Linked DNA regions of Saccharomyces cerevisiae S288C. The gene in region 1 interacts genetically with each later gene. Each region holds a gene or a part of one and is shown in the gene's direction. Other genes may lie near its edges. The genes, in order: CSF1, LAS21, BRE1 and EAF7.

Region 1 (8,196 bases):
GTTTAATGGAAGATATCGGTGGTTCTGTTGGTGCTTACTCTTCTTCTCAAGGTGTAGAAGGTATAAGGAAAAGTGTCGCTGAATTTATAACGAAGAGGGACGAAGGCGAGATATCATACCCAGAGGATATTTTCCTAACTGCTGGTGCATCCGCAGCTGTCAATTACTTGTTATCAATTTTCTGTAGAGGGCCAGAAACGGGTGTCTTGATTCCAATTCCTCAATATCCATTATATACCGCTACTCTAGCTTTGAACAATTCTCAAGCTTTACCATACTATTTAGATGAGAATTCAGGTTGGTCAACTAATCCAGAAGAAATTGAAACTGTCGTCAAAGAGGCTATACAGAACGAAATCAAACCTACAGTTCTAGTGGTTATCAATCCAGGTAATCCTACAGGAGCTGTCCTATCACCTGAGTCTATAGCTCAGATTTTTGAAGTCGCAGCCAAGTACGGTACAGTAGTGATAGCTGACGAAGTTTATCAAGAAAATATCTTCCCGGGCACCAAGTTCCATTCTATGAAGAAAATTTTGAGACATTTACAGAGGGAACATCCAGGTAAATTCGATAATGTTCAGCTAGCTTCTTTGCATTCGACTTCTAAGGGTGTTTCTGGTGAATGTGGTCAAAGGGGTGGCTACATGGAACTCACTGGATTCAGCCATGAGATGAGACAAGTTATCTTGAAACTAGCCTCGATTTCATTGTGTCCCGTTGTCACAGGTCAAGCTTTGGTTGATTTGATGGTTCGTCCACCAGTGGAAGGGGAGGAATCATTCGAGTCGGACCAAGCAGAACGTAACTCCATCCATGAAAAGTTAATTACAAGAGCAATGACACTGTATGAGACATTTAACTCTTTAGAAGGCATTGAATGTCAAAAGCCTCAAGGTGCCATGTATTTATTCCCTAAGATAGACTTACCTTTCAAGGCAGTTCAAGAAGCTCGCCACTTAGAGTTAACTCCGGATGAATTTTATTGTAAGAAGTTGTTAGAATCTACTGGCATTTGCACTGTTCCCGGTTCTGGGTTTGGTCAAGAACCTGGTACTTACCATTTAAGAACAACATTTTTGGCACCTGGTCTGGAATGGATTAAGAAATGGGAAAGTTTCCATAAAGAATTTTTTGACCAATACCGTGACTGAATAAAAGGGGGCAGAACAGTCTTCAATAAACATTTAAATAGCTAGTTTATTATAATAATGTGATCGTTTCTTTCTTCCACAACTCACATATAGTTATTTGATATTATCGCATCTTCGCTTCTCTATGCCATGTTTCCATCAATACTTATGTTTTATTTAATACATATTTGTATCAGTATATCATATCATTTCATCTTCTTTTGCTTCGATTTGTAATGTTTGTGCGTATAAAATCAATTGCGTAGTTCGAACACCCGTTAATCCTTTACTTCTTACCAATGGCACCTAACTTTGCTTTTCTTTCGACCTTACTACGACAGATTTAGATTCAAACGATGACGCTAATATCAATAGCCAACATGGAAGCCAACCTATACAAAGTACAAACCAACTCCAACATTTCAAATCCAACCATGCTGAAACCAGTTTGTTTATTATATCAAATCCATGAAATTCATCATCAAAAAATAGTCCGAATAAGGTTATTGAAATAAATGGATTTGTCAAAATTAATAGTACTAAATTTTTTAGTTTTTGTTTCTGTTGTTGGGGGGTTGCTGGCGTTGTATCCATGTGATTCTCGACGAGCTCTATCTCATCTTTCGGCTCAGTTTTTATTGGGTTAGAGGATTGAGTTGTCACCTCATGTTCGCTAGAACTTTCAACAATGGTCTTCACAAATGTCATAGGAAATGCCAATGTGCCGATCAGTAAAGCCATTGCAAAGTTTATCATTAGCAAAGATGTTGAAACCAAACTGAAATATAAAAAAGCAACATTTTTCAACCTGTATGATAGTGGTTCTGAGATGTGAATTTTTCTGGAAAGTATCAAAGGTAAAAAACAAGATGCCATGCTAATTGTCATCAATAATCCCGATGAAGGTATTAGAAGAAACGCTTGTGAAACAACAAATGATATCACCAATGACACGAACCAAACCAACAACGCTACCAAATTATACTCGGAAAATAAGGATATATTTGCATAAGCATTGTTTATAAATGCATTTAATGAACTTATGGCGAATGCTATAGATAAAGCCACAGCGCTTGGCAAATAACTACTAATGGATACGAACTGACGTGGTGCTAATAACAAATAAAAGAAGAACGATTGGTGAAATTTTTCCAAAAGGTTATTAATAGAGCGAAACATTGCTTCGGGTATACGTCCAAATGTAGTAATATCATGACCACTGTTTCCATGTGCTTTCAATGTTACAGATTGAATCCTCCAGCCGCTAAATGCCTCGTTACCATGGGGCTTTTTAACACCGGACAACGCCCAATCCCTTATTCCCAGGCATAATATTTTTAATCTTGACCAGAAATTATTATTAGTTAACTGATCACTGGGTAGACCGTGCAAAGAAACTTTCATACCTTCATGTTCCGTAATGGATATAGCGATGTTGACAAGATCCAAATTGGGCAGCTCACCATTCAGACCGTCGTATGAGATTTCTACATACTCGAAGAAATCTTCCGTACTCGAATAATCCAACACAACAGCAGCTTCAATGGAACCACCAGTCAAATCTAAGGAAGTATGGTATGCCTCAACCCATGATCTTAATGCTGCACGAGGATTTTCGCTGAAGACAACAATTATATTCTTGGACCATACTGGCCAACGTGAGAAAAATCTTGCTAAAGATACACCCAAAGCTGCGCCGCCAATATTGAATTCATCATCTGAATTAAACCATGGAACGGCAAGCACCATCGCTTCTGTTCCATCACCCCTAGGAGCGTGCATTACACCGTACAATGTTTCTCCATATTGTTCATTTTCGTAAATAGCAGTCTTAGTACCAAATTCTTGTAACCAAGAACCCATCAAATTGTTTCTTTCCATAGAAGTCATGTTTACCATTTCTTTAATTTGAGATCGATAGCCCCTCAAAATGTTCCATTCAGATTCTCTAAAGTAACTATACGCTTGTGAAGGCATCAATGCATTCTCAGAAATGTATGTTCTTCTGTACTGTCCATCCATAGGCAGAATAGCTATAGAAATAAACCCAAATAGAGCGCATAGCATGGAAATAACTGGTAATAAGGCGATTATACGCGGGACAAGCCCCATATCAACAATCCTTCGATGCAACTTCTCCAATAAGGCCATTCTTGGTGTATTATACGCGTCTTTGGTCTGTCAAGTCCTTTTATAAGACAGCAAATGTCATTTCTTTCTAAGTGTAGCCGGCGTGTATTGTTTATGACTTTTTTTTCTACCGCTGGCATTAAAGTGAGAGGTTCACGATGCGTTCCCAATAACTTCGTAGGGATGGCGATCAATATACAAATAGAGGGAAGCCAAACTCCCCACTATAAAGCTGTTGGCACGGTTTTATAAGCTTCAACCTTTCTAGGCTACAGGATACTCAAAAAAAATTACTGCGGTATTATCAACATAGTGCTCTTTGGAAAAAAAAAAAGAATAGTACTCATTAAAGCCACCTGACTCAAGTCTTCTATTGACGGTAATAAGTTAGCAAGCATGGAAGCTATTTCACAATTACGTGGTGTTCCATTGACACACCAAAAGGACTTTAGCTGGGTCTTTTTAGTAGATTGGATTCTCACGGTAGTAGTATGTTTGACAATGATATTCTACATGGGAAGAATCTATGCATACCTTGTAAGTTTTATATTAGAATGGCTACTATGGAAACGAGCGAAAATCAAGATAAATGTTGAGACACTTCGTGTCTCCTTACTAGGTGGTCGAATACATTTTAAAAACCTTTCCGTAATACACAAAGATTATACAATTTCGGTATTAGAGGGTAGTTTAACATGGAAATACTGGCTTTTAAATTGCAGAAAAGCAGAATTGATAGAGAATAACAAGTCTTCTTCTGGCAAAAAAGCAAAGCTTCCCTGTAAAATTTCCGTAGAATGTGAAGGTCTAGAAATTTTTATTTACAACAGAACAGTGGCGTACGATAATGTTATAAACTTACTATCAAAAGATGAACGCGATAAATTTGAAAAATACCTTAATGAGCATTCTTTTCCTGAACCTTTTAGCGATGGAAGTAGTGCTGATAAATTAGATGAAGATCTAAGCGAATCTGCATACACAACGAACTCTGATGCATCAATTGTTAATGACAGGGACTACCAAGAAACAGATATCGGCAAACATCCAAAGCTACTGATGTTTTTACCAATTGAGCTTAAATTTAGCCGCGGTTCCCTACTGTTAGGAAACAAATTCACGCCATCTGTTATGATTCTAAGTTATGAAAGTGGAAAAGGCATAATAGATGTTTTACCTCCAAAAGAGCGATTAGATTTATACAGAAATAAAACACAGATGGAATTCAAAAACTTCGAAATTTCTATCAAACAAAATATTGGTTACGATGATGCTATTGGATTGAAGTTTAAAATAGATAGAGGGAAAGTGTCAAAGTTATGGAAAACGTTTGTACGAGTCTTTCAGATAGTAACCAAGCCTGTTGTACCGAAAAAGACTAAAAAAAGCGCAGGCACATCAGATGACAATTTCTATCATAAATGGAAAGGTTTATCTCTTTATAAGGCTTCTGCGGGCGACGCTAAAGCAAGTGATTTAGATGATGTTGAGTTCGATTTGACGAACCATGAATATGCTAAATTTACATCAATTTTAAAATGCCCAAAGGTCACAATTGCATATGACGTGGATGTTCCGGGCGTTGTGCCACATGGTGCACATCCGACAATACCTGATATTGATGGACCAGATGTGGGCAATAACGGAGCACCTCCAGATTTTGCTTTAGATGTTCAAATTCACGGAGGATCCATCTGTTACGGACCTTGGGCTCAAAGACAAGTCAGTCATCTACAAAGAGTTCTATCACCGGTAGTTTCAAGGACAGCCAAACCTATAAAAAAACTCCCGCCAGGTTCTAGAAGAATATATACACTTTTCAGGATGAATATATCAATAATGGAAGATACTACTTGGCGTATACCGACGAGGGAAAGTAGCAAAGACCCCGAATTTTTGAAACACTACAAAGAAACTAATGAAGAATATAGGCCATTTGGATGGATGGATCTCCGATTTTGTAAGGACACCTATGCAAATTTCAATATAAGTGTTTGTCCTACAGTGCAAGGTTTTCAGAATAATTTCCATGTTCATTTCCTGGAAACCGAAATTAGGTCAAGTGTTAATCACGATATTTTGTTAAAAAGCAAGGTATTCGATATTGATGGGGATATTGGATATCCATTGGGTTGGAATAGCAAAGCTATATGGATAATTAACATGAAGTCAGAACAATTAGAGGCGTTTCTGCTACGTGAGCATATAACTTTAGTTGCAGATACGCTTTCAGACTTTTCCGCTGGTGATCCTACGCCTTACGAACTTTTTAGACCATTCGTATACAAAGTCAATTGGGAAATGGAAGGATATTCCATTTACTTAAACGTCAATGATCACAATATTGTTAACAATCCGTTAGATTTTAACGAAAACTGTTATTTATCCCTTCATGGTGATAAGCTTTCAATTGATGTCACGGTACCCCGTGAGAGTATTTTGGGGACATACACAGATATGTCCTACGAGATCTCAACTCCAATGTTCAGAATGATGTTAAATACCCCCCCTTGGAATACATTGAACGAATTCATGAAACATAAAGAAGTGGGGAGAGCATACGACTTTACAATTAAAGGTTCTTACCTTCTCTATTCCGAGTTAGATATTGATAATGTCGATACGCTAGTCATAGAGTGTAACAGCAAGAGTACAGTACTTCACTGCTATGGGTTTGTCATGAGGTATTTAACAAACGTAAAGATGAATTACTTCGGTGAATTTTTTAATTTTGTGACGTCAGAAGAGTACACAGGTGTCCTTGGCGCTAGGGAAGTCGGAGATGTCACTACGAAAAGCTCGGTGGCAGATTTGGCATCTACTGTAGATTCAGGGTACCAAAATAGCAGTCTAAAGAACGAATCTGAGGATAAAGGTCCTATGAAAAGGTCAGATTTGAAAAGGACTACCAACGAAACTGATATTTGGTTCACATTTTCGGTTTGGGATGGTGCTCTGATATTACCAGAAACGATTTACAGTTTTGATCCATGCATTGCACTACATTTTGCCGAACTTGTAGTGGATTTCAGAAGTTGTAATTATTATATGGACATAATGGCGGTTCTCAACGGGACTTCAATAAAGCGGCACGTTTCAAAACAAATAAATGAAGTATTTGATTTTATACGTCGTAATAACGGAGCTGATGAGCAAGAGCACGGATTGCTTTCGGACCTCACCATTCATGGACATAGAATGTATGGATTACCACCCACAGAACCTACCTACTTTTGTCAATGGGATATCAATCTCGGAGATTTATGCATTGATTCAGATATTGAATTTATAAAGGGATTCTTTAATTCCTTTTATAAGATAGGTTTTGGCTACAATGACTTGGAAAATATATTATTATATGACACTGAGACCATTAATGATATGACCTCGCTAACCGTGCACGTTGAAAAAATAAGAATAGGCCTTAAAGATCCGGTGATGAAATCTCAATCAGTTATTAGTGCTGAATCGATATTGTTTACTTTGATCGACTTTGAAAACGAAAAATATTCACAAAGAATAGACGTGAAAATTCCAAAATTGACAATTTCGTTAAATTGCGTGATGGGCGATGGCGTAGACACATCATTTCTCAAATTCGAAACAAAATTAAGATTTACAAACTTTGAGCAATACAAGGATATCGATAAAAAAAGATCAGAACAACGCAGATATATAACAATACACGATTCACCCTATCATAGGTGTCCTTTTCTTCTTCCGCTGTTCTATCAGGATTCGGATACATACCAAAACCTGTACGGGGCTATAGCACCATCTTCGTCTATCCCAACTTTACCTCTTCCCACTTTGCCTGATACTATAGATTATATCATTGAAGATATTGTGGGCGAGTATGCTACCCTTCTGGAGACCACAAATCCATTCAAGAACATATTCGCAGAAACTCCATCAACTATGGAGCCTTCAAGAGCCAGCTTCAGTGAAGATGATAATGACGAAGAAGCGGACCCTTCAAGCTTCAAACCTGTCGCTTTTACAGAAGACAGAAACCACGAAAGGGATAACTATGTTGTTGATGTTTCATATATTCTGTTGGATGTCGACCCGTTGCTTTTTATTTTCGCTAAGAGTTTATTAGAACAGCTTTACTCTGAAAACATGGTACAAGTCTTAGACGATATTGAAATTGGGATTGTGAAACGATTAAGCAACCTTCAAGAAGGGATCACTTCTATTTCAAACATTGATATCCATATTGCTTATCTAAATTTAATCTGGCAAGAGACAGGTGAGGAAGGTTTTGAGCTCTATTTAGATCGTATTGATTATCAAATGAGTGAAAAGTCTCTAGAGAAGAACCGAACAAATAAATTATTAGAAGTAGCAGCTTTAGCAAAGGTAAAAACTGTCAGAGTGACTGTTAACCAGAAGAAAAATCCAGACTTGTCTGAAGATCGTCCCCCTGCACTGTCGCTAGGGATTGAGGGTTTCGAAGTATGGTCTTCTACAGAAGATAGACAAGTTAACTCATTAAACTTAACGTCATCAGATATTACCATAGACGAATCTCAAATGGAATGGCTGTTTGAGTACTGTAGTGACCAGGGAAATCTTATTCAAGAGGTTTGCACTTCTTTTAATTCTATTCAGAACACCAGAAGTAATTCAAAGACAGAACTCATTTCAAAGCTCACAGCCGCAAGCGAATATTATCAAATTAGTCATGATCCTTACGTCATAACAAAACCTGCTTTTATTATGAGACTTTCCAAAGGGCATGTGCGTGAGAATCGTAGTTGGAAAATTATTACGCGTCTGAGACACATTTTAACGTACCTTCCTGATGATTGGCAAAGCAACATCGACGAAGTGCTAAAAGAAAAGAAATATACCTCTGCTAAAGATGCAAAAAATATCTTCATGTCTGTGTTTTCGACTTGGAGAAATTGGGAGTTCTCAGATGTTGCAA
Region 2 (8,545 bases), on another chromosome or scaffold:
TGTTGTTGTTGCTGCTGCTGTTGCCTATGTAGGGACTCATGTGTCAGCACCTGGACGAAGAATTCTGTAGCAAACGCTGTGGCTACGAATGCGTCATCCGAAGTGTCCATATATTCTGGATCATTCTTGGCTATTCTCTGCACTTTTTCTACAGGTAACTTGGGCGAACACAGAGGTGCAGACGCCGTTTCTTTACCACTAGTCTCGTTGTTCATTGTGTTAGCCTGATCACATCGAGCGAGCTATCCTGACGCTATTCTCTCTTGTTTCTTCTGTTTTGTTTCTCTTACATTTTTCATTTTTTTCTCTAGTTGGAAAAAAAAAAAAACACTATATTAGAATACGCACATTGTTAGCGCTGTTCTTTCAATTGTCATCTATATATTTACAAGGGAATACACAAAATCCTGGTTTTTTTAAGGTCTGGGAACCATGACATAGGAGGAGGGTTTCTTCGTCTTCTTTGGCAATGACGAAGAGTAGACCTCCTTCAAAAGTGCCTGCGTCCTTTCGTTTTCGAGTGCCTCATCATAGGGAAGGGACATTTCCTTGAGTAAGACCTGCTTGATGAGCATAATTTCACCATGTAGCTGCGCTTCTGCTTTAAACTTGGCCACTTTGTGAAGATTCTGCAATGTGAGTGGGTTATGAGGTAGCTGGTTGGCGTCATCGTTGATGACTGACTTGACTAACAGCCACATCTTTAAATTGCCCCTGTTCACCGTATGCGATTCGGACATCACGGGAGAGTCGACTAGTTCCAAGACGGATTGCGGCGCTGAGTCGTTAGCCCTAGGCTCTAACCGCAGCACACGCGTGTACCCACCGGGCCTTTCCAAGTACCGCGGTGCGATCTCGCTGAACAACCGCTTCATCAACTTTCTGTTGTCTCCTGCTAAAAACAATTGGCTCTGAATTTGGGACTTTAATTCCGCCTGTGCAACACTATTACTTGTCGTTATTGCCCTCTTTGTCCAGGTAATGATCCGCTCTGCGACCCTGGAAGCCTCTTTACATTTGGCATGCGTTGACACTATAGATTCATGCTGAAACAACTGGCACGCAAGGTTTTTTAGCAGCGCATCCCTATGCGCCTTGTCCCTAGAGAGTTTCCTAGCAATACCCACTGTCATTGTTGCGCTCGACTGTGCTTCTCACCGTTTTTTCTCCTTGGCGTAGCCAAATCTCTTGACCGTTATAAGCTGTTTTAGCTTGTCAAATCCCACTTGTTCTTGTTAACCAACTTTTCCCGCCTCGTACGCGGTGACAGACAAAGCAGTGATTTTTGCTCATTGTATAAAGGGAGTCTTTACTATGGTGGCATAAGCAACAATACTACGTGAGCAGCAACGAAAGCACATATATAGACGACAAAGTAGTATGGTTTTGAATCCGTCCAAGTACCAAGACACCCGCACGTGGAAGATGACGCCTGCCATGATCAGGGCCCGTAAACCCTTTTTCAAAGGCAATATGCTCGGTCTCACGCTGCTGCTGGGTGTCACGGGCTCTGTTTACTACTACACATATCATTTTCTGCACAAGGACAACGACTTTGCAGACGTGCCCATTCCACCCATCGATCCGCAGGAGCTCGAGGCTCTCAAAAAGGAGTACGAAGCCAAGAAGAAGGCATGAAAAGACCGTTAATGTGGAGGTACGCTGTGGTCTTCCATCAATAGGCTTTGCGCTGTTCTTCTCTCCTCTTTTGTAAATAGTTTACCTACTTGCGTATATGTATATATATATATATATAGATATGCTTATACGGATATATACATACATTCTGTTTGTTTATACTCTTTGTCCTACTCTAACAGCCAGCTCTTTAGTTTAAGAATATGATGAAAAACTCAGTTTGGGAAAAAAAAGGAAAATGTTAAAGTATAAACAATATCGAAATAAGTTCATCTACCACGCACACTTCACCAAGTTAGCAAGATGAACTTGAAGCAGTTCACGTGCCTATCATGCGCTCAATTACTCGCTATTCTGCTCTTTATCTTTGCTTTTTTCCCTAGAAAAATCGTGCTGACAGGTATATCAAAGCAAGATCCGGATCAAGACCGTGATCTCCAGCGCGATAGGCCCTTCCAGAAATTGGTGTTTGTGATCATTGATGCTCTCAGATCAGACTTTCTTTTTGATTCGCAGATTTCCCACTTCAACAACGTGCACCAATGGCTCAATACGGGCGAAGCATGGGGTTACACGTCATTTGCTAATCCGCCTACCGTGACGCTGCCTAGACTCAAAAGTATTACTACGGGATCTACACCTAGCTTCATTGACTTGCTGCTGAATGTAGCCCAGGACATAGATTCCAACGATCTTTCGGAGCACGATTCCTGGCTGCAGCAGTTCATCCAACATAATAACACGATTCGTTTCATGGGCGATGACACCTGGCTGAAACTGTTCCCACAGCAATGGTTTGACTTCGCTGACCCGACACACTCGTTCTTTGTCAGTGATTTCACTCAAGTCGATAATAATGTGACGAGGAACTTGCCCGGGAAATTATTTCAGGAATGGGCCCAGTGGGACGTGGCTATCCTGCATTACTTGGGTCTTGACCATATCGGGCATAAAGATGGCCCGCATTCAAAGTTTATGGCTGCTAAACATCAAGAAATGGACAGCATTCTGAAGTCAATATATGATGAAGTGTTGGAACATGAAGATGACGATGATACACTGATTTGTGTTCTTGGCGACCATGGAATGAACGAACTGGGCAACCATGGTGGCTCTTCAGCCGGCGAAACATCAGCAGGATTGTTGTTTTTGTCACCTAAGCTGGCGCAATTTGCTAGGCCAGAATCGCAAGTAAACTACACATTGCCCATCAACGCTAGTCCGGACTGGAATTTCCAGTATTTAGAGACTGTTCAACAAATTGATATCGTCCCCACCATAGCAGCACTGTTTGGTATGCCAATCCCCATGAACAGTGTTGGGATAATAATACCTGACTTTTTACAACTGTTGCCCAATAAGTTGGCAAGTATGAAAGAAAATTTTATGCATTTGTGGAAATTATCAGACCATCACGGCGAGGTTGCTCTTGACGATTTCACTGCCGAAGATATTTATACAAAGATGTACACTATTCAAGAAACGTTAACCAAGTCTGCAACAAATTATAATTATCCTCTTTTGACACTGGCTTTTGTTGGTTTCCTCATAATAACAATCATCGCCATTTATGTATTATTACGTTATTCTGGGCCTGATTTTTGGCAGTTGCGCGTTTCTTCCCTGTCTGTTCTGTTAGTTTCCATTATACTAGGCGTTTCCACATTTGCAAGTAGTTTCATTGAAGAGGAGCACCAACTGTGGTGGTGGATAGTAACTGCATTCTCGGCGGTCCCTCTGTTCGTATACCGATTGAATGTGCTCATAATCGTGCGCTGGTTTATAATGATGGCATGCGTACGCTCAATCAAGTTTTGGAATAACAGTGGCCAGAAATTCATTTATTCTAACGTTATGTCCAATCTACTTAATCAGAATCCTTCCTGGAAGTGGTGCTTAAATATGTTGACATTTCTAGTGCTGATAATGGCATCTGCTGGTTTTCAAGTACTACATTTTATTGTCACTACTATTTTGGTGGGGTTGTGTTTCACGTACAAAATCTCGTGGGAAATCGTCAATGGTAACCAGGCAGAAATACCGCTCTTTATGCATGATTTACTGGCTAAGATAGACTTTGCACCAACTGAAAGTAACTTGATTGTACTTGCGCGCGTTTTCTTCCAAGCTTGGGCTATTGTTGTCATTTCAAGGTTGGTCCTGACGAAATTGAAAGTACTTAACAAGAACTACCTCATTAAAGATATGAAAGTTTATATAACAATTCTTTTGATGTTCCAAACTTCTTCTCAGAACATAGGTCAATTTCTCGTTTTCCAAATATTAGAGTCCCAAATTTTTTACTTTTTCCAAAATATTCCAACCGCCTCATTAACATCAACAAGTAAGATTTATTTTTCGAATTTGGTGTCCTTAATTTTACAAAATTTTACATTTTTCCAATTCGGTGGCACAAATTCCATTTCTACTATAGACCTTGGAAACGCATACCATGGTGTTTCCTCAGACTACAACATCTACGTAGTGGGGATATTAATGTCCGTTGCCAATTTCGCGCCGGCAATATACTGGTCCATGCTACCGTGGTCAATAAACTACGCCTCTATTCCAGCACAAGTTAAGTTGCAAACGTTCATCAGAAGTAAGTTACCTGCCTTCACCTATCATTGTATATTTGGAACTTGTTTGATGACGGCATGCGTCGTTTTGAGATTTCATCTCTTTATTTGGTCCGTTTTCAGTCCAAAATTATGTTATTTTCTTGGGTGGAATTTTGTGATGGGATTGCTGAATGGCTGGTTACCTGAATTGGCCCTCCTTTGCGCTCTTGATTAACATAGAATTGTTCACGTGGTCTAAATATGTATACATATATGATAGTTTATAGATTCATACTGAGACAAGTGAAAAAAAAAAAATCTACTATCGACCTTCTCTCTTTTCGCGGCAGCAAAAATGAAAAATTAACTTCAATAAAAAAGTTGAATACTTTCAAATATTCTAATTGCATTTAATATTTAAGCAACAAAAGGACAGCGATAATTGAGTGGTGGCTTAATTCTATACTCCAAAGTATGTCCCAATCTAGTAGGTTAAGTGCACTTCCTATTTTCCAAGCATCGCTTTCGGCAAGCCAATCTCCACGTTACATTTTTAGTTCTCAGAATGGCACAAGGATTGTTTTCATTCAAGATAACATAATAAGGTGGTACAATGTACTCACTGATTCACTTTACCACAGTTTGAACTTTAGTCGTCATCTCGTCTTGGATGATACCTTCCATGTAATATCTAGTACGTCTGGTGACCTACTCTGTCTTTTCAATGACAACGAGATTTTTGTAATGGAAGTTCCTTGGGGCTATTCCAACGTTGAAGACGTTTCCATTCAAGATGCATTCCAAATTTTCCACTATTCAATTGATGAAGAAGAAGTTGGTCCGAAATCGTCCATTAAGAAAGTTTTGTTTCATCCAAAGAGTTATCGTGATTCTTGTATAGTGGTTTTGAAAGAGGATGACACTATCACGATGTTTGACATCCTTAATTCGCAAGAAAAGCCTATCGTTTTGAACAAACCGAACAACTCCTTTGGTTTAGATGCACGTGTTAACGACATCACAGATTTAGAATTCAGTAAGGACGGATTGACGTTATATTGTCTAAACACCACAGAAGGCGGTGATATCTTTGCATTTTATCCATTTTTACCGTCAGTATTACTGTTAAATGAGAAAGATCTCAACTTGATCCTAAACAAATCTTTAGTAATGTACGAGTCCCTGGATTCTACAACAGATGTTATAGTTAAAAGGAATGTTATTAAGCAGTTACAGTTTGTGTCAAAACTGCATGAAAATTGGAATTCAAGATTTGGCAAAGTCGACATACAAAAGGAATATCGTTTAGCCAAGGTTCAAGGACCATTCACGATAAACCCCTTTCCCGGCGAGCTGTATGACTATACTGCTACAAATATTGCAACCATACTAATTGATAATGGGCAAAATGAAATTGTTTGTGTCAGTTTTGATGATGGGTCTTTAATCTTACTCTTCAAAGATTTGGAAATGTCAATGTCGTGGGATGTTGACAATTACGTGTATAATAATTCTTTGGTTCTAATTGAACGAGTCAAACTACAAAGAGAAATTAAGTCTCTAATAACGTTACCTGAACAGTTGGGAAAACTTTATGTCATTTCCGATAATATTATACAACAAGTAAATTTTATGAGCTGGGCTTCTACATTGAGTAAATGTATCAACGAATCGGATTTGAATCCACTTGCAGGATTGAAATTTGAAAGTAAACTTGAGGATATTGCCACCATAGAAAGAATTCCAAACCTAGCGTATATCAACTGGAATGACCAATCTAATTTAGCCTTGATGTCGAATAAAACATTGACTTTTCAAAATATTTCAAGCGATATGAAACCGCAAAGCACCGCAGCTGAAACAAGTATCAGTACAGAAAAAAGTGACACGGTAGGAGATGGTTTTAAAATGAGTTTCACACAGCCCATAAATGAGATTCTTATTTTGAACGATAATTTTCAAAAAGCCTGTATTAGTCCATGTGAACGAATTATCCCATCAGCAGACCGCCAGATACCTTTAAAAAACGAAGCTAGTGAAAATCAGTTGGAAATTTTCACGGATATTTCCAAAGAATTTTTGCAAAGAATTGTTAAAGCTCAAACTTTGGGTGTTTCTATCCACAATAGAATTCATGAGCAACAGTTCGAATTGACGCGCCAACTACAATCGACATGCAAAATAATTTCAAAGGATGATGATTTAAGGAGAAAATTCGAAGCACAAAATAAGAAATGGGATGCACAACTAAGCAGACAGTCAGAATTAATGGAGAGATTTAGTAAATTGAGCAAGAAGCTATCTCAAATCGCCGAATCCAATAAATTTAAAGAAAAGAAAATAAGCCATGGTGAGATGAAATGGTTCAAAGAGATACGAAACCAAATATTGCAATTCAACAGCTTTGTTCACTCTCAAAAATCCCTTCAACAAGATTTATCGTACTTGAAGAGTGAACTAACTCGTATCGAGGCAGAAACTATCAAAGTCGATAAAAAGAGCCAAAACGAATGGGATGAGCTACGCAAAATGCTTGAAATAGATTCAAAGATAATTAAAGAATGCAATGAAGAATTGTTACAAGTTTCTCAGGAATTTACTACTAAAACTCAATGAGTAAGCGACTTGCATAGTCTGCTATCATATATGTACGCTAAGAAACAACTGGGCAATGGTATAATATCATGTAGCAAGAGGACATTATATATGAATTGGTCAATATATAAAGCCTTCTGTGCACCAAATCGTTAGGATGATTTTTCAGTATGCTGTATCATTGTATCGTATATTCATTCGTATCTCTTTTACCTCACTAACCGCTGCCAAAATTTACATGTATACAAAATAAAAGTCTTTTTTATGACCTTATTTGGTGAGTAATGCTACTTTTGTAAAGAGTGATGGAAACTATTATTCCAAAGGGTTAGAAGAAGGTGAGGAATACGTTCATATCACCGCTACAGATCGTGTCTCTCGGTTATGAGTAATCAAACCCTCTGCAAGCAACACAGTTACTTTTTTTCGGTTTTTTCTTTTCGTGTGAATTTTTATCCAGTGAGTTTCCTTGTTCACTTTCGAGAATGGAAGGCTGATTTCGAATTTTTATATTCAACAACTGTATTTGTATTAGGCTTTGCAATAGTAGATGAAAAGTGCAGAAGACGAATCTGCTACCCTCACAATACAAAGAAAAACAAAATCGTCATTTTAATATAGGAAGACACCGCTCAGGTAATTCAATATTGAATCTGGTTGCACTTTTCTTACGATGTAAATACCCACAAACTTCTTGTACGGTGAGCGTCTGACAACGAAATCAATTTACGGAGCAAGGATTTTGACAGTAGAGCAGATTGTTTTGAGTAGGATTTAGGAATCAAGACCTCCATCTTTGTCGCATTATTCCTAAATGTAACGTAACTCGTTTGATAAGAGAATGTCTAATCGAAGAGAGTTAATAACTTAATAAGCTCTTTAAAAGAACGATGGCATTTATCGTCTCCTATGCCAAGATAATTACTGGCTCAAAATTGTTCAGCGTTCATAAAACTTTGATATCACTTTCTGGCGCACAAGCTAACCTTTATGTAGTTCTTACGTAGATTCTTTTTAGCAAGTGCCTGGTAGTGGTTATTACATAAATGTATCTTTTCATTTGATAACAATTTCTTCAGTAGCATGTCGTGTCTAGCACGTGACGTAGAACTGTGGCTTTTTTGTTGTCATTATGACAATCAAGATACCAAAATTCAGTCATGTTTAAAAGGGGAAGGTACGATAGAGATATATATAAAGTGTTCAATTTACTATAATTGCGTATAGAATCCATTGTTACTTGCTCTCAATGAAACAACGATTCATTCGTCAATTTACGAACCTAATGTCTACTTCGAGACCGAAAGTTGTTGCCAACAAATATTTCACTTCTAACACTGCCAAAGATGTTTGGTCGCTAACCAATGAAGCCGCTGCAAAAGCTGCCAATAACTCCAAAAACCAAGGCCGTGAACTTATTAATTTAGGCCAAGGCTTTTTTTCATATTCCCCTCCTCAATTCGCCATTAAGGAGGCTCAGAAAGCCCTAGACATTCCAATGGTCAATCAATATTCTCCAACTAGAGGTCGACCTTCATTAATTAATTCCTTGATTAAGTTGTATTCTCCTATTTATAACACAGAATTGAAAGCGGAAAATGTTACCGTAACAACAGGTGCCAATGAAGGTATACTTTCTTGCTTGATGGGGCTTTTGAACGCTGGCGACGAGGTTATTGTTTTTGAACCTTTCTTTGACCAATATATTCCAAATATCGAACTTTGCGGTGGTAAAGTTGTTTACGTCCCCA
Region 3 (7,979 bases), on another chromosome or scaffold:
GGGTTCATTCTTTTGCTTTTCATCGATTGTATCAACAGAGTGTACAGCATCGACAAAGAGCTGCAGTTAAGTAGCGCCTCTCAAAATAATGGCGCTATAATCGCTCAAGATAGAATTGAGGTTCTTTCTAGGAAATTCTTTGCCCAAAGGAATATGTATTTGACAGGTATAACTTTGTTTTTGACCTTTGTCGTCGTTAGGACTTTTGGGCTAGTCATAGAACTTTTAACCATGAAAGACATATACAGAGCATCGCCTCCAGTAGCCTCCAGCGATGTCAAGAAGAACGACTCTGTTACTGCCGAAGCTGCTGCTCAATCCGGCGCTTCCAAGGATGACCACGGCGATGAGAAAAATTTTGAACTATTGAAGAAAATTCAGGACATCGATGACGAAATTGCACGTTTAAAGGAGAAGTCGGAATCGTTGCAAGAAGAAATAAATTAGTTTGACGTTTTATTCCTTTTCTTCTGCACAGAAGTGTGTATATATATATTTATATATAGTCGATGTGCAAAAGCCTACATTATTTTTCTTTTGATTTTTATTTTTTTGTTCAAGTAGGTTCATGCCGACAGTAAATCCTTATGCCCTACCTAAATATAAACACCCAAATATATATATATATATATATATATATAAATAATAAAAACGGAAAGGAAATAGAATAATAATAATAATACTACACGTTTACGTATGTAACTCATTCTATTATTCAGACTTTGATATTAATAGAATTATTACTACTAGGTTTCCTCACTTCAAAATCTATAAATATACCGTCATGCTCTAATCGATTGGAAAACTCAAAATATTCTCTTACTGTAGCATTGAACGTCTCAATTAAAACACAGATTTTTTGTATCCTTGTTCTCAACTTCATATCTTGGATCTGCTTCCAAATTGTCACCTCCCGCCCCCCAGTAACTTTCAAATCTTCCACATTCTGATTACCAATTTTGGCTACATCTTGCTCATCTTCCATACATTTGCCAAAAATATTAAAATCAGGCACCGGTATCTCAAAATCTAGACCATTACCGCATAAGGTAGCTAAGTTTCTCGTCTCACTTTCGTTCTTAGCAACACTCGCAACCAAATCTTTCGGGACGGGTAAAGGCTTCATGTACTTACTGCCTCCGTGGATTGTCCCCCATTTCATGTTCGCCAAATCTATTTTTTCGACGACTCTTCTATTGGTTTGAATAAATACCAGTTTGAATATTGTAGCAATACTATTGTGTTCCTTGATTTCATTAGAAAATCTCAACTCTGGTGGACCTATCAATATATTCTCCCTCCTATTGAGCTTGATACTTGAATTATATGATACCATTGATCCTGAATTGTTACCATGCTTAAAAATTTTTTCAATATTACTAGATGACTGCTTCGGCAAAATTTCTGCAAAATCAGCCACATCTTCATCATATTCAAAATCGTTGCCTAATTCATTTGCCTGTTCCTTCTTCTTCTGTGAATCTTCAGAAGTACTTGAAAATTTTGAAAGCCAAGTGTTCAGTGTTGCCGATAAAGAACTATTACCTTCCTTTCTCTTATTTTTATGCGAGCCACTATCTTCTGAGTCTTCATCATTATCTTCGTTTTCCTGACCTCCTTCGTAGCCATCCATAATTTTGTGATTTTTTTTGGGATTTAGTCGGGTCTTCTTTTCTGCAAGAAGAAAGGCAGCTTTACTTGTCATTTCGTCCAAAATATCATAAGCGTATTTACCATTTTTCAAGATAACGTTAGGTCTTGTATTTGCCACTGAGCTGACAGAGGGAAATCTTTCTGTAGTTAAATTTTTATCATGATTAATCTTATAAACTAAGTGGTCCTCTGTATTTGGTTTTTTTGGAATCATCATCAAACGTGAGTTACCATTAAAAACGAGAGCATTCTTTCTATGCGCCACTATATCATTTGAATCGTGTTTTTGCATCTCAAATAACTCCTCCTTGTTTACCAGTAGCTCTTCATATAGTTGTTTAATTCTATCATGTGGCAAGAATCGTAATGAAGAAGAATTTTGAACACTTGGAATGATTTTAAAAACTAATACCTTCATAAATAAAATTCTAATCAAAGGAAATTCGTTTTCAAAAATCAATGACTCCCAAAAATCACTTAACAGCACTTTTACTATTTCATCGCGGTCCTCAATGGTTACGTGCTTCCAAATATTGAAAAGGCATAATAAAGAAACAGTCTGGCAGTTAACATTTTTGGTCCTTAACATACTCAAAAGCCCATTGTACCACGACCTCCATTGAATGAATTTCAGAGAAGGTAAACTTTCAAACTGGAAAATAATAAACTGGAGAACCTTATTGTAAATGACGTTCGCTGCAATATAATCGTACGCTGAAATAGTGGAGACATAGTCTATCAATAGAGACTCATGTAAGGAAAGCATATTTTCCAGGTATTCCGGATGATTTTCTTTAAGAATGCATCCTGAAAGGCTTCTAAGACATTCCCATAATTTGATTGTCTTAAAATTAGAAAATACGTAATCATTAATCCTTTCAGATGTAATTAAAGCATTGCTACTATTCAAACTCTTGAAATTTGGATGTGACTCTGTCACATTCTCATTTGCTATCCTTGGATTCGGCGTTTGTTTAATAATCCGCGTGAATTTATTCAAATCTGAATTCAAGAATCTAGTGGTTACATGCGTCAATAAAATTTCTGAGCCAGGTATGCATGACAATGTCGATTTTTTAATTCCTACATCTGAATCAGAGAATTTCATAAATTGAAGTATGATATACCAATAGTGCCAATAAAATGACATAAGTACAAAATCATTTTTAATATAAGAAACAATGATCTTAAAAAATTTAGTATCTTTATTTTCAAAAGCTTCAGTGCGGATCATTTGTCCCTGATCGTCGGTGAATTTATATTGTCTCTTCTTCCATGAAAACAAAGATGTTTGAATACTTGAAGAGATTTGAGGAGAAACTGTCAATAACAAAATTGTATCGAAATGAAAGTCTTCTGGTAGATAAAAAAATGCGTAAGCATTTAACTTCCCGATGAATGCTCGCAGCAAGGAAGAATATTTGTTAAGGTATTGCAGCTTCTTGTCGTTTATAGAGCACTTGTCATCACTATTTGTACGTTTAAGTTTTTTGGAGTTTTTAGAAATCAAAATCAACTTGTTTGTTATGCAATGAATGGTCAGCAAAAGATGATGTGAGTATATTTCCATGTCTCTGGATGAATGGAAAGGCAATATTATTAGTATGGTCATAATTTTGCTGAGGCACTCGAGACACACGGAAGTTAGTTCTATGCTCAAGCTCAATTCAAGGGCAGTATCTATTTGAAGCGAGGTGTCAGAATTTAGAAAGTTTAAAAGTGTGACCCACCATTGGGTCAAAACATCTCTAACCTCCAGTGTACAGTTGCTTCGTGAAGAATCACACCATTGTCTTAGAACCGTTAGTAGTTTCAAGCGTAAAAAATTTGAGGAGGATTTGCAAAATTTTGTATTTTGTTCTTTATTACTAGCTGACTGATTAGCATTGTTTATGAAATTGATAAACCTGTTCAACGATTGAAATAATTGAGTTTCATAATTGTCCATCAAGAAGCCATCTTGAGACGTAGTCTTTAATCCACATTCATATAGTTGATTATGTATGGCAGGACCCATGCTTAATGAGCAATATGATCTTTAGTGCTACAACAATGCGTATATAGCATACGAAGCACAATCGAGTTCAGAATTGTTTCTCTACCCACGAAAGATAATATTGGGAAAATCACTGGTGAAATTCTGAGATCGTTAATTTCAGTGGATTCAAAAAGAAAGAGCAGATCGACAATAGGCACTAAGGATGTCTTCTAACTTTGAAATGAAGCACCAACTGATCGTACTTTGATCAAACCATCGTTATTATATAAAAGTGACAAAAGCATTTGATCACGTGATTATAATCACATCCAACGAAACTTTCTTAAAGAAGGCGAAAAAACAAAAAAGAAGAAGATTAAAAAAAGTTGGATGGATGTTGTTTGAACGGTAAACTAACAGAGAGCGCCCCAAGGTTTTTAACAGAGATAGAAAGGGCTTTCACCGTTTTTATGCTAATCGTGCTAGCTGATAATAATCAGATATGACGGCCGAGCCTGCTACTAAGAAGATCAAGCTAGAATTAAGCGATCCTAGTGAACCGCTTACTCAATCTGATGTGATAGCGTTTCAAAAAGAAGCTTTGTTTAGATGTATAAATCGTCGAAGAGTCGACTTTGAAGCCTTGCGAAAGCAATATGAACTTTCAAGAAGGGAGTGCATAGATGTTTCCCGCAAGTTGGCAAATATTATGGCGCTGATAGTAACTTTAGCTAGGTTTATCGAAACATTCTGCACAGACGCCAACGAGAAGCAACTATGTAGGGAAATAGCCCAAGGCGATGAGACGTTGATAGTTCAGCGCAGTGATTCTTTCATGAAGCTACTGACTAAATATGGGAAGCCAAACACGACAGATAGTAATACTAATAGTAATGCTTCGGATCATATTCAAGAATTAACAACGGAGTTAAAAAACTTGCGGAAAAGTAAAGAGGAGCTCTTTTATGAAAATTCGCAATTGACAGAGGAGATTTCTGCTTTGAAGGAATATTATACAAATATAATTCGCAAGTATGATAGAGATGAATCCTTTACTATAAAACGTGTTTTTAAGGAAGATAAGACTGATGCTGTAAAGGAATTACGGGAAGATGAAAAAGAATCTAATGAAAACAATATAAAATCTGGAAATAAAGACTCCTCTGCAATTAATGGTGATAATACATCCAAAAAATCCGAGAAAGGTGATGAACTTGTGCAGGCGGAGGATGAACGAAAAGAAGATGCTGAGAATGAAAAATTAGAATTGGATCTGAAATTTTCTGATTTACGGGCAGAGATAAACTCCTTGAGTTCCACTATAAAAGACCTTGAAAATATCAGAAGGGAAAACGAGGAAGAGCTCATCAAAACACGTTCTGAGGTATCCAATTTAAAAAAGCAACAGATAGCAGCAGCAGACCAAGACCCAGATTTCAAGTCATATGACCATGAGTCCCTGTTAGCAAAAATTCAACATTTGACTGAACAAAACGCAGAATTATCTGAGATCAATAGTTCCTTTTTATCAAAATTTCAAGTTTTAGCCAAAGAGAAAGAAATATATACGAAGAAGGTCCGAGAAGAATTCCAGAAAAGTCTCGACTCCCTAGTAGAAATGAACAGTTCATTGGAAAAGGACGTTGTAAGAATAAGAACGGCTCGTGATGATTTACTAAGCAAAATCGCCATTTTGGAAGCTGAAAAATCCAAGACTGAAGTGTTGAGCGATTTACAACATGCAATTGATATTTTGAAGGAGCAATGGACAAAAATTGATCAAAGATCAAACGATACAAAATCCTCGTCGACTCAAGATGCATTAATAAAGGAAATTCAAGACTTAGAGAAGGGTTTTAGAGAGTTATCCGACTTAACTCATAAAAAGTACTCTGAGATTATTAATCACGAATCTGTTATATCCAAGCTTACCGTAGAAAAAACTAAGGCTGATCAGAAATATTTTGCCGCGATGAGGTCCAAAGATTCAATTTTAATTGAAATCAAAACTCTTTCTAAAAGCCTCAGTAAATCAAATGAGCTTATTCTACAGTTAAAGGACTCTGATAGATTGCTACAGCAAAAAATAGGAAATTTACATAAACAACTGGATCTTTCTCAAAATAATGAACGCAGGTTAATTGATTCCAGTAAAACAGAGACACTAAAAATAATTGATTTAAATAATACATCCACTAAACTGAAAAGGTCATTAGAAAAGCTACAAGAAGAAAGTAACAAAAGCATTGCAGATATGACGCATCTAGAAACTAAATTAAATGATACAGAAATAGAATTGAAGCACTTCAAGCAGAAGGCATCTCATCTAGAATCCAAGTGTGAAAAACTACATGATACATTGTTCCGTGGTAACAACAAAAATAAGGGCTCGAGCGATGAAGCACTCGTAGAAGAACTAGCAAATTTCCGTACACTTGTTTATTGTTCCCTGTGTTCTAAAAATTGGAAAAACATGGCTATTAAAACCTGTGGCCATGTCTTTTGTGAGAATTGCTGTAAGGAACGATTGGCAGCGAGAATGAGAAAATGCCCTACATGCAACAAAGCATTCAGTTCCAATGATTTATTGACAGTGCACTTGTAATACTAATTATTCTACCACTTTTCCACTGTTTGTGTTATATCCTCCACATACATATACATATAATATATGTAAATCTAGTTTTGTCATTGCTTTTATTTTATTTGCGTACATCCTAGCCTAACTTCTGAATCAAAGAGTGACGTCTACTGTCGCATGTTTCCAAAGAAAAACTCTAATTGTACATATCATGCTGATAATTCCTACAAGCCCTAAAGATTCATATAATACTTTGGGCGGCCGGGTGAGAGAACGCCCGCGACCTGAAAAATTTTCTGTGATTTTTTATTATGACCTTAATCGCGCTTGTTCAAGATATATTTTCATCACAAATGTCCATACATATATATATATATATATATATATATATATCAACATTTGTAACATAACTCTTCTACTGCAGTCCTTGGGGGGAACAAGGATAATAGCAGAATCATATCAACTGGAAAGGACAAGAATAGATTTATAAACGGGTGATAAGATTAATGGTATAGTGAGTTCACTCTGCCGATAGTTCTTGTCATTTCTTTAGCTTCTTGCTGCTCTATGTTTTGCTGAAAGCGAATGAATTATGGACTTTTAATGATGAAGATTTTAATTTTCCGTTGGTCTATTAAGAACAGAAGTACTTCAAAACTACTTTTTAAGACCATCCTTTTACAGTATTTTTTCAATATTGTAAAACTTCTCATTTACTTTGTGTCTTTATGATCTCATCGTTCTGGTGGACCATAATCAGACGCACGGTATACTTCGTTTCTGTTGGAGAATATTGGGAGTCTTTTAATGTGATGAGTGGCCAACATAACCTTATAGTCATAGTTACACTGATTTATCCATTTTTATCGCCTTCACTTATACGTAGACTTGCATCTTTTAAATAATTCGAAGGTAACCCTTTGTACAAGCGTAGCAGATGATATCATTGATAAAAATTGATCTGAGTGCCCCGCTTCAATGAATACAGAAGTCTTGGCTTGAGTACAAGAGATTTATACAAATCGAAAATGTTTACTTTATATTTATTAATATAAAATGAGTATTATTTTTATTTAATTGATTTAAGCATCTTCTTCGACAACAACAGTTTGTAGACCCTTGGCAGAAGCAACTAAGACAGGTTCAACGTAGGAGAACAATGGGTTCTTGGCGTCTTCTTCTTCGTTTCTCTTTCTGGAAATTCTCAATCTTAATCTGTATTCAACACCCTTGACACCTCTCTTCCAGATAGCTTGGTTCAATTCTGGAGCTAGACGGACATCATCAGTACCCATGTGTAACTTGGCGAACTTCTTAATTTCCTTGACAGCTCTTGGAGCTCTCTTCTTGAAGGAGACACCGTGCAACTATTAAAAATAAAATGGTAAATTTTTTGTTAGTAACGATTGTTCATTTTAATATTAGTGTAATCTTGATGAATGGTTTTGTATATTGGAGACCCAATTTGTTCTGATTCATATTTAGTCAAACTTGGGATATGGATAATTGTCGACTTAAAATCTAGGATTCCACTATTTAAGATAACTATTTCTGTCTTCATCGCTCTTTAAGTCCAGCCGAAGTGTATCTTTCCCCTCTTGGATGTTATAATATTGATTATGGTCTTCAAATTCCGTATTATAAAATATATCTTGATCAATGATCTTTGTTGATAGGTTTCTGTGGTACAAATTCTTGATATTGTATTCCTTGACTATAGAAATATCTTCTTAATTAACCATTCAGATGACAAGCCCTTGGGCATTA
Region 4 (6,894 bases), on another chromosome or scaffold:
GCTTTTGGTTCATCACCTTCCAATTCAGATAATTTAATCGGATCATGATATTTTAAATTTTTGGCCCATTTGGGGTCGAACGTTAGTGAACCATCAGAAATATCACTCATCCTAGTTTTGAAGTGGTCTGTTATATTTTTCGTCCATAGTTTCACGCTTTCCGCTATGATTCTTTTTCCAGATCTTAAAGCGGATTTGGCTCCATCAGATAATTCTTTTTTTGTGGTTTCGTTAGGATTCATCATTTCTGTAGCCAGTGAAATCAACTCGTCAGGCTGACATTTAGAAATGATTTCTCTTCTAATTTCACCGGATTTGAAAAACTCTTGATAAGCGTTATTTAGACTTTCTAACAACTGAGAGTCCTGGATCTCAGGGAGACCCTGTTTGAGTTCATCTATCGACAAGGGCTCATTATTCGACTTACCTATTTCCTTCTCTACATTTAAAAGCTTTCTCAAGATACCTTCCTGTGTGCATCCCTTTAATGCGTTATATTGCTGTGACTCCAGATTCTTATTATATTGCCTCAAAAATTCTTGAAACTGAAGTTTCTTTGGGTTAGAATCCGACATCTTTTCAAAATTTTCCAACTTCTTCTCCCAAACTTCCTTTGGCTCCGTTTTCGCTTCCTTAACATACTTGTTCCATAAAACTATTTGAGTCTTATCGATCTTTAGCGCTTCTTGGAAACTTGGTTTCTTGGCACCGAGAGCTTCCAGCACTTTGTCCGGTTTGACACTGAACATATCTCCAGGCTTTAAAGTATAGCTTGGATGCTTAATTTTTACACCATTAACGCGAACATTTCCATGCAAGATGAACTGACGAGCTTGTCTTACTGACGAAGCAAACATAGCCCTGAAAAGGGCAAAATCAAGCCTTTTTTCTAATACTGCAAAAGTTTGTAATAAAAATGGTGTTTCCTTGATTTCACCTCCACGCAGTGAAGCATCCAATTGTGCTACTGAATCCAATTTGGGTTTGAAAACGGTTTGCCATCTCTTTTCTGTCAAATGTTCACCATGATAAGCTCGGGTTTCCTGCTTTGCCGTCCACTTCTGTTGATACAAAGATTTAGACTTCAAGTCTACACCACCCTTTTTGTACAAATTAAACAAATTATACTTATTGAAAGAAGTGCGTACTCGTCCTCTTGCCAAAGATTTTAGCAAATTAGCCTTTCTTGGCATTATCTCTGTATTTTAATTGTAACCAGTCTTCCGTACCAAAAAAGTATAAAGGAGCTCCTACTCGATATATATTCGAATTAGTTGCACTTCCTCTGGGGAAACCTTCACCTTTTTGACCGTTCGCTCTCTCTTTTTGTATATCTTCAGCATAGTTCCTTAACTAATACTGCGAAGCGAAACGTATCCGGCTGCCACCATGAAAAGTAAAATCGTGCTTAACGAAGAAATCAATCATATAATCTATGAAGATGGATTGGCGGAGTTTATTAGAAGTTGCTAGCTGCTAGTGAAGAAAAGGGAATCGTGGATGTGATGGTAGTACATTGGACAATTGTGGATGAAATACGACTTCTTAGATGGGCATCTGAATTCAAACCGGCCGGAATTCATAAGCATTTCCACATGTTTTGCATAGTGGAAAGAATGAATTCGCCAGATAAGTATCCAGTGACGCTATTACAGAAAGAAACCATGAAGTTGGGGAAGGTATTTACTGCAAAAGACATATGGGATAAGTTGAGCCAATCTTACAATTTAGAGAAAATTGATGAAATGGAGAATACATATTCCTTGGAAGCCACTACAGAGAGTTCACGGAATGGCAATGGAAATGGTGACGATGCAGAAATTCATGAAGAAACTTTACTTGAATTGAATAATCGAATAAGAGTACGCAAGCAAGATTTTACATTACCTTGGGAGGAATACGGTGAGTTGATCTTAGAAAATGCAAGAAAAAGTCCAAACTCTAACGAAGAGTATCCTCGAGTTGAAGATATGAATGAGAAAGATAGTACAATTCCAAAGGAAAGTCCTTCTACAGACCTAAAGAACGACAACAATAAACAGGAAAAAAATGCGACAATTAAAGTGAAAGAGTTGCCTGAATATCATACAGAGGAAAATGATAGCCCCATAGACGTCCAGAAAGAACCCATTAAGGAGGTGCAAAGCGATGAAAAGGAACTCCAGAGGGAACATATGAGTGAAGAAGAACAGAAAATGAAAAGTACAAATAAAACAGCAGCTCCAGTAAGAAAATCTCAAAGGTTGAAAAGAAGTAAGGAAGTTAAATTTGAAGATGAAGAAAAGGAAGAGATAGAAGAAGATAATACGAAAGACGAAGAACAGAAAGAAAAGAAAGAGGAGATCCAGGAGCCAAAAATAACCCACAATGAAGAAGTAGATAAGGAAAAAAACGAAAACGAAGAAGGTGATGATGAGCGTGAAAAATCCACCTCTTATGAAAATACCAATGGCTCTGAAAGCGAAGGAGTTGACGAAGGAGTTGACGAAGAACTGGGATACGAGTCTGAACGTGAGGCAGAAGGTAAAGGAAAACAAATTGAATCAGAAGGGGGCAACTTAAAGAAAAAAACGGAAAACAAAAAAGGAGATGATCAACAGGATGATACCAAAAAGGATTCTAAGGACAAAAATGAACCATTAGCAAAGAGAACTAGGCATTCATCATCCACAGGTAATACTAGCAATGAAACCTCGCCGAAAAGGAAAAGGCGGAAGGCAGGCTCTCGTAAAAATAGCCCTCCTGCCACAAGAGTTTCCAGCAGGCTACGAAATAAAAAATAATCACTGCTCATATATAGATCGCGATAATAAACGCTCATCCGTTCCATAGAGGTATCTGTATTTAATGTAGTGTAGCAGATATAGAATAAAATAACCTTAATGAAGAAATAGAATATACGTATGCTTCTCCTTGTCTAATCTTTTGTAATTATATATCTATTTCAATTAAGGCTCAGATACTTACCATAAACATAAATAAAAAGCAGAAAGGCGGCTCAATTGATAGTACTTTGCTTTTAGTTGACCTTCAACAATTCGACGTCGAAAACCAAAGTACTGTTTGGTGGAATCAAACCTGGGAAACCACGTGGGCCATAAGCATATGGGCCAGGGATGGTTAACCTAGCTTTTTCACCAACAGACAACTTTGGAATACCAACATCCCAACCCTTGATGACTTGGCCGACACCGATGTTACATTGGAATGGAGAGCCCCTGTCAACGGAGGAATCGAATTTTTGGCCGTTCTCCAAGGTACCGGTGTAATGAATGGTAACCAAGTCACCTGTCTTTGGGAAGGTGGCACCATCACCTGGGGAAATTCTGTCAATTTTGACGTTACCTTCAATTACTTCAGACATTATTACTTGTTTTGATTGATTTTTTGCTTATACTCGAGTTTAGGTGAAAGGCCTTACTTTAAGCTTTCACGAGTTTATCCACCAAATTCTTTCAACGACGTCTCTCTTCCGGCAATTTTTTTTGCCCGAAAAAGACTAAGGCGGGTGAGGGGAATTGAACGGCACTATAATGTGGAGGTAAACAGAATGATCAAGCGCTATATACATAAGTAGCTATAGATTATTTATTTCAAGACGGCAACCAACTTTTCGCCAGAATTCCTCCCGTGCTTAATATCATCAAGTAACTGTGGGATATCATCTAACCCGTTCTTGTAAACTTTCACTGGGATGTGGTGGATTTCACCATCATTGATTTTTGGATTGATGAACTTAATAAATTTTATGGCGGCTTCCTTGTATTCAGGGTCTGCTGGCAAAGTAAACGTGCCAAATGGGACGTCGTTACCTCCTATCAAATATAGAAGGGTTCCTTCAATACTGACGTTTTGCCTCCTGTCTTCCTCCTTGATATCTTTTTCGGTTAAAACGGTCAATTGAACGACCGTAGCGTCTAAGTCATCAGCGGCACATTTGTACACCTGTTGAATAGTTTCTGTGTTGGAGACACAGTCCACCAAGTAAGGAATGTTGTTGTACTTCTTTTTTATCTGTTCGATAACGTCAGCATCGTGGTAGTCAAAAAGTTCATCTGCACCGTACTCTTTCAACAATTTTTCATGTTTACGAGAAGCAACGACGATGATCTTGCTGAAACCGTTTAGTTTTTTTGCCAATTGAATAAGCATCTGGCCAACAGCAGTGGCACCACCCCAAAATAAGATGGGTTGATCTCTTTGCGCTTTGGAGGGCTTCCATGTCATGTCCAAGCCAAAACTATGTGTAAGGATCATACCAGCCGTGGTCAATGAGACTGGGAGGGATACTGCCCCTTCTAAAGATTTTACGGGGCCTTCTGGTAGCTTGTCTTTACCGCACAATCTAAACTCTCTGGCTGGTTTATAAGCAGTCTCGGATGAAATGGCAGAGTACTCAGCAAAGGCACCGTTTGAGGGGAACCTCACTGAAGCACCGTGAATAACCCCATAAATGTAATCACCAATGGCAAAGCGTGCAGCATCAACATTTGGGCCCAACTTTACGATTTGGCCGGCTGCATCACAGCCTAAGAGGGCACCTTGAGGACCAATCTTGAAATCAATATGTTTCCAATCGGTAGGGTTACCGGCAACGGCGACAGTCTTAATTAGAACAAATCCTTCTTCTAATTCAGGAATTGGAATGTCCTGTTTGACTACAGCCTTGCCATTTTCAATGACAACGGCTTTCATGGTTTCTGGAATCGAGGCGGACATGCTTGATATGCAGTATGATATTGCTTTTTGCTGTGTATAGTTAACGATTTTTTTTCAACTAGAATTACAGTACTAATCAAGAAGTGAGAGGAAGAAAACGGCAAAAAAAAAACTCTCTCCTTTTAAATCGAAGCATTGCCGAAATACCTTAAAAACGGTCTTAAATCCTTAACATCTGTCCTTACTAATCGATGCCAATCCAACGGAGGGAGCCCATATGCTAGGTACTAAGAGTACGCAGGGGCGGAACCGCGCGACAACCGTAAGCGGATCCGAGGAACTTTAGTCAGCAGGGGCTGTGATGACCATTAAAAAATTGCGGACACAGGTAGTGGAACGAGCAATCAATGTGATCAATTTGCCATTTCATTCCACGAAATGGTTTCCATTCTAAGCATGAATGCTTTGACGTTACGGGTGTTGGTTATTTCGGTTCTTTTTATTGCTTCCGTGGGCACGTACGAGAAGGGAAGATGAATAGAAAAAGAGTTTCCGAGTTTTGTATGTCCAATGTTTACATAATTTATATAACTTGAAGTTTAATCTTGGCATAAAGCTCTAGTTGTGACGAAGTGTGTAGGCCATCACATCAGTTCTCCAGTTTTCTACCCAATTTTTTTATGGATACCTTGATTTTTGGTTTAGGGCTGGATGTCTTTACGCCCTTTATTTGTGTTTTACTGCCCAAACTAGTGCCGGTCTCTAAATATTTTTCTGTATTAGTAGTAGAATCGTTCTCCATTAGTAATGCTTTTTTTTTCTTTTCAAAATTGATTGCCTTGACGTCTAAGTAGTTATTCAGTTCTTTTTCCTTTTTTAGCAACTCATTCTTGCTCTTCTGGTAAAATTCCAGGTCCTCTTTACTCAACCTAGTAAAACTTTCACGGTCTCTCACCAAACCGTTATATTGTTTTTGTTTACTAATAGCATTAGACCTAAGCTGATCTCGCAGGGACTTCCTGGTTTTCCTTTTATATTCCGCTTCATATTTTTTTTGCTCCACTTGCTCTCGTATCCTCTGGGCCTCTACATTACCAACTCCTTCTGACACGAATTTCAGTGGTTTTTTCTCTCTTGCACTATTAGCATTATTATCACTGGTAGATGACATGATGATATAACAGAGCCCACAGTCTTTTGTTGGAACCGCTTTCTCTAGGCTTCGATGGACTTACATCTAATTGCACATTCTCGTGCGTTTAAACGTCATTTTTCCCTCAGATTGGCAGTGCATCAAAAGTAATTCCTAGGGACGACAAAAAGGCGGAAAAGGTTTCAGAAAAATAAGCGGACTTAGCTCAGTTGGGAGAGCGCCAGACTGAAGAAAAACTTCGGTCAAGTCATCTGGAGGTCCTGTGTTCGATCCACAGAGTTCGCAATTTGAAAAATTTTTTTTAATGATTACGCATGTGGATGTGTTCAGTATCAACCGATGCTCGCTTTTCCAATCAAATGATACAAGCCAGACCGAACATTGCATGTTTTCCATTGTAACTTCCCAGGTATATCTGAATTAGTTGTAAAAAGTAATAGTTTACCCGGAATCGTGTGAAAAATTTTGAAAAAAAAAAATGAAGAGCCAAGATACAATGAGATGAGATGAGGTGCTGAAGATGCATGGAGATTCTGTATTTATCTCAAATAAAGTACGCAATAGAGTATATAAGCCAAGTCACCTTTTATATTTCTTAGTTTTTAACTTGCAAAGACTTATAAGAGACTTATAAAACAAGGAGAAAATGGCCAAAAAAGCTATCGATTCAAGAATCCCGTCACTGATCAGGAATGGTGTTCAAACCAAACAAAGGTCCATATTTGTCATCGTTGGGGACAGGGCACGTAACCAGCTCCCAAATTTACATTATTTGATGATGAGTGCTGACCTTAAGATGAACAAGTCCGTCTTATGGGCTTATAAGAAGAAGCTTCTAGGATTCACTTCGCACAGAAAAAAAAGAGAGAATAAAATTAAGAAAGAAATTAAAAGAGGTACAAGGGAAGTGAATGAAATGGACCCTTTTGAATCTTTTATCTCTAACCAAAATATCAGATATGTATACTACAAAGAGAGTGAGAAAATATTGGGTAATACCTATGGTATGTGTATTCTTCAGGACTTCGAGGCATTAACCCCAAATCTTTTAGCAAGAACCATTGAAACTGTAGAAGGTGGTG

The links.
Region 2: mutations in CSF1 (region 1) and LAS21 together harm fitness more than expected from each alone (negative genetic interaction), as found in Saccharomyces cerevisiae (5 studies listed by BioGRID, with this or other methods).
Region 3: mutations in CSF1 (region 1) and BRE1 together harm fitness more than expected from each alone (negative genetic interaction), as found in Saccharomyces cerevisiae (6 studies listed by BioGRID, with this or other methods).
Region 4: mutations in CSF1 (region 1) and EAF7 together harm fitness more than expected from each alone (negative genetic interaction), as found in Saccharomyces cerevisiae (8 studies listed by BioGRID, with this or other methods).

Annotation. Positions count from the first base shown.
Region 1 is NC_001144.5:311,195-319,390, reverse strand, and holds the start of CSF1 (Csf1p), read left to right. Parts: upstream 1-3,659; coding exon 3,660-8,196. Other genes in the region: alanine transaminase ALT1, read left to right, coding at 1-1,154; GPI-anchor transamidase subunit GAA1, read right to left, coding at 1,440-3,284. UniProt on the Saccharomyces cerevisiae protein: Tube-forming lipid transport protein which provides phosphatidylethanolamine for glycosylphosphatidylinositol (GPI) anchor synthesis in the endoplasmic reticulum. Required for the glucose and other nutrients uptake at low temperature.
Region 2 is NC_001142.9:315,343-323,887, forward strand, and holds LAS21 (mannose-ethanolamine phosphotransferase LAS21), read left to right. Parts: upstream 1-1,941; coding exon 1,942-4,434; downstream 4,435-8,545. Other genes in the region: DLS1 (Dls1p), read right to left, coding at 1-215; mitochondrial 54S ribosomal protein bL17m MRPL8, read right to left, coding at 417-1,133; COA3 (Coa3p), read left to right, coding at 1,381-1,638; linker nucleoporin NUP82, read left to right, coding at 4,674-6,815; BNA3 (kynurenine--oxoglutarate transaminase), read left to right, coding at 8,044-8,545. UniProt on the Saccharomyces cerevisiae protein: Ethanolamine phosphate transferase involved in glycosylphosphatidylinositol-anchor biosynthesis. Transfers ethanolamine phosphate to the GPI second mannose.
Region 3 is NC_001136.10:322,304-330,282, reverse strand, and holds BRE1 (E3 ubiquitin-protein ligase BRE1), read left to right. Parts: upstream 1-4,133; coding exon 4,134-6,236; downstream 6,237-7,979. Other genes in the region: YET3 (Yet3p), read left to right, coding at 1-447; AHK1 (Ahk1p), read right to left, coding at 716-3,670; 60S ribosomal protein eL31 RPL31A, read right to left, coding at 7,295-7,579. UniProt on the Saccharomyces cerevisiae protein: E3 ubiquitin-protein ligase that mediates monoubiquitination of histone H2B to form H2BK123ub1 in association with the E2 enzyme RAD6/UBC2.
Region 4 is NC_001146.8:368,863-375,756, forward strand, and holds EAF7 (Eaf7p), read left to right. Parts: upstream 1-1,505; coding exon 1,506-2,783; downstream 2,784-6,894. Other genes in the region: mitochondrial 37S ribosomal protein uS4m NAM9, read right to left, coding at 1-1,193; peptidylprolyl isomerase FPR1, read right to left, coding at 3,020-3,364; YNL134C (uncharacterized protein), read right to left, coding at 3,589-4,719; FYV6 (Fyv6p), read right to left, coding at 5,309-5,830; ribosome biosynthesis protein KRE33, read left to right, coding at 6,459-6,894. UniProt on the Saccharomyces cerevisiae protein: Component of the NuA4 histone acetyltransferase complex which is involved in transcriptional activation of selected genes principally by acetylation of nucleosomal histone H4 and H2A. The NuA4 complex is also involved in DNA repair.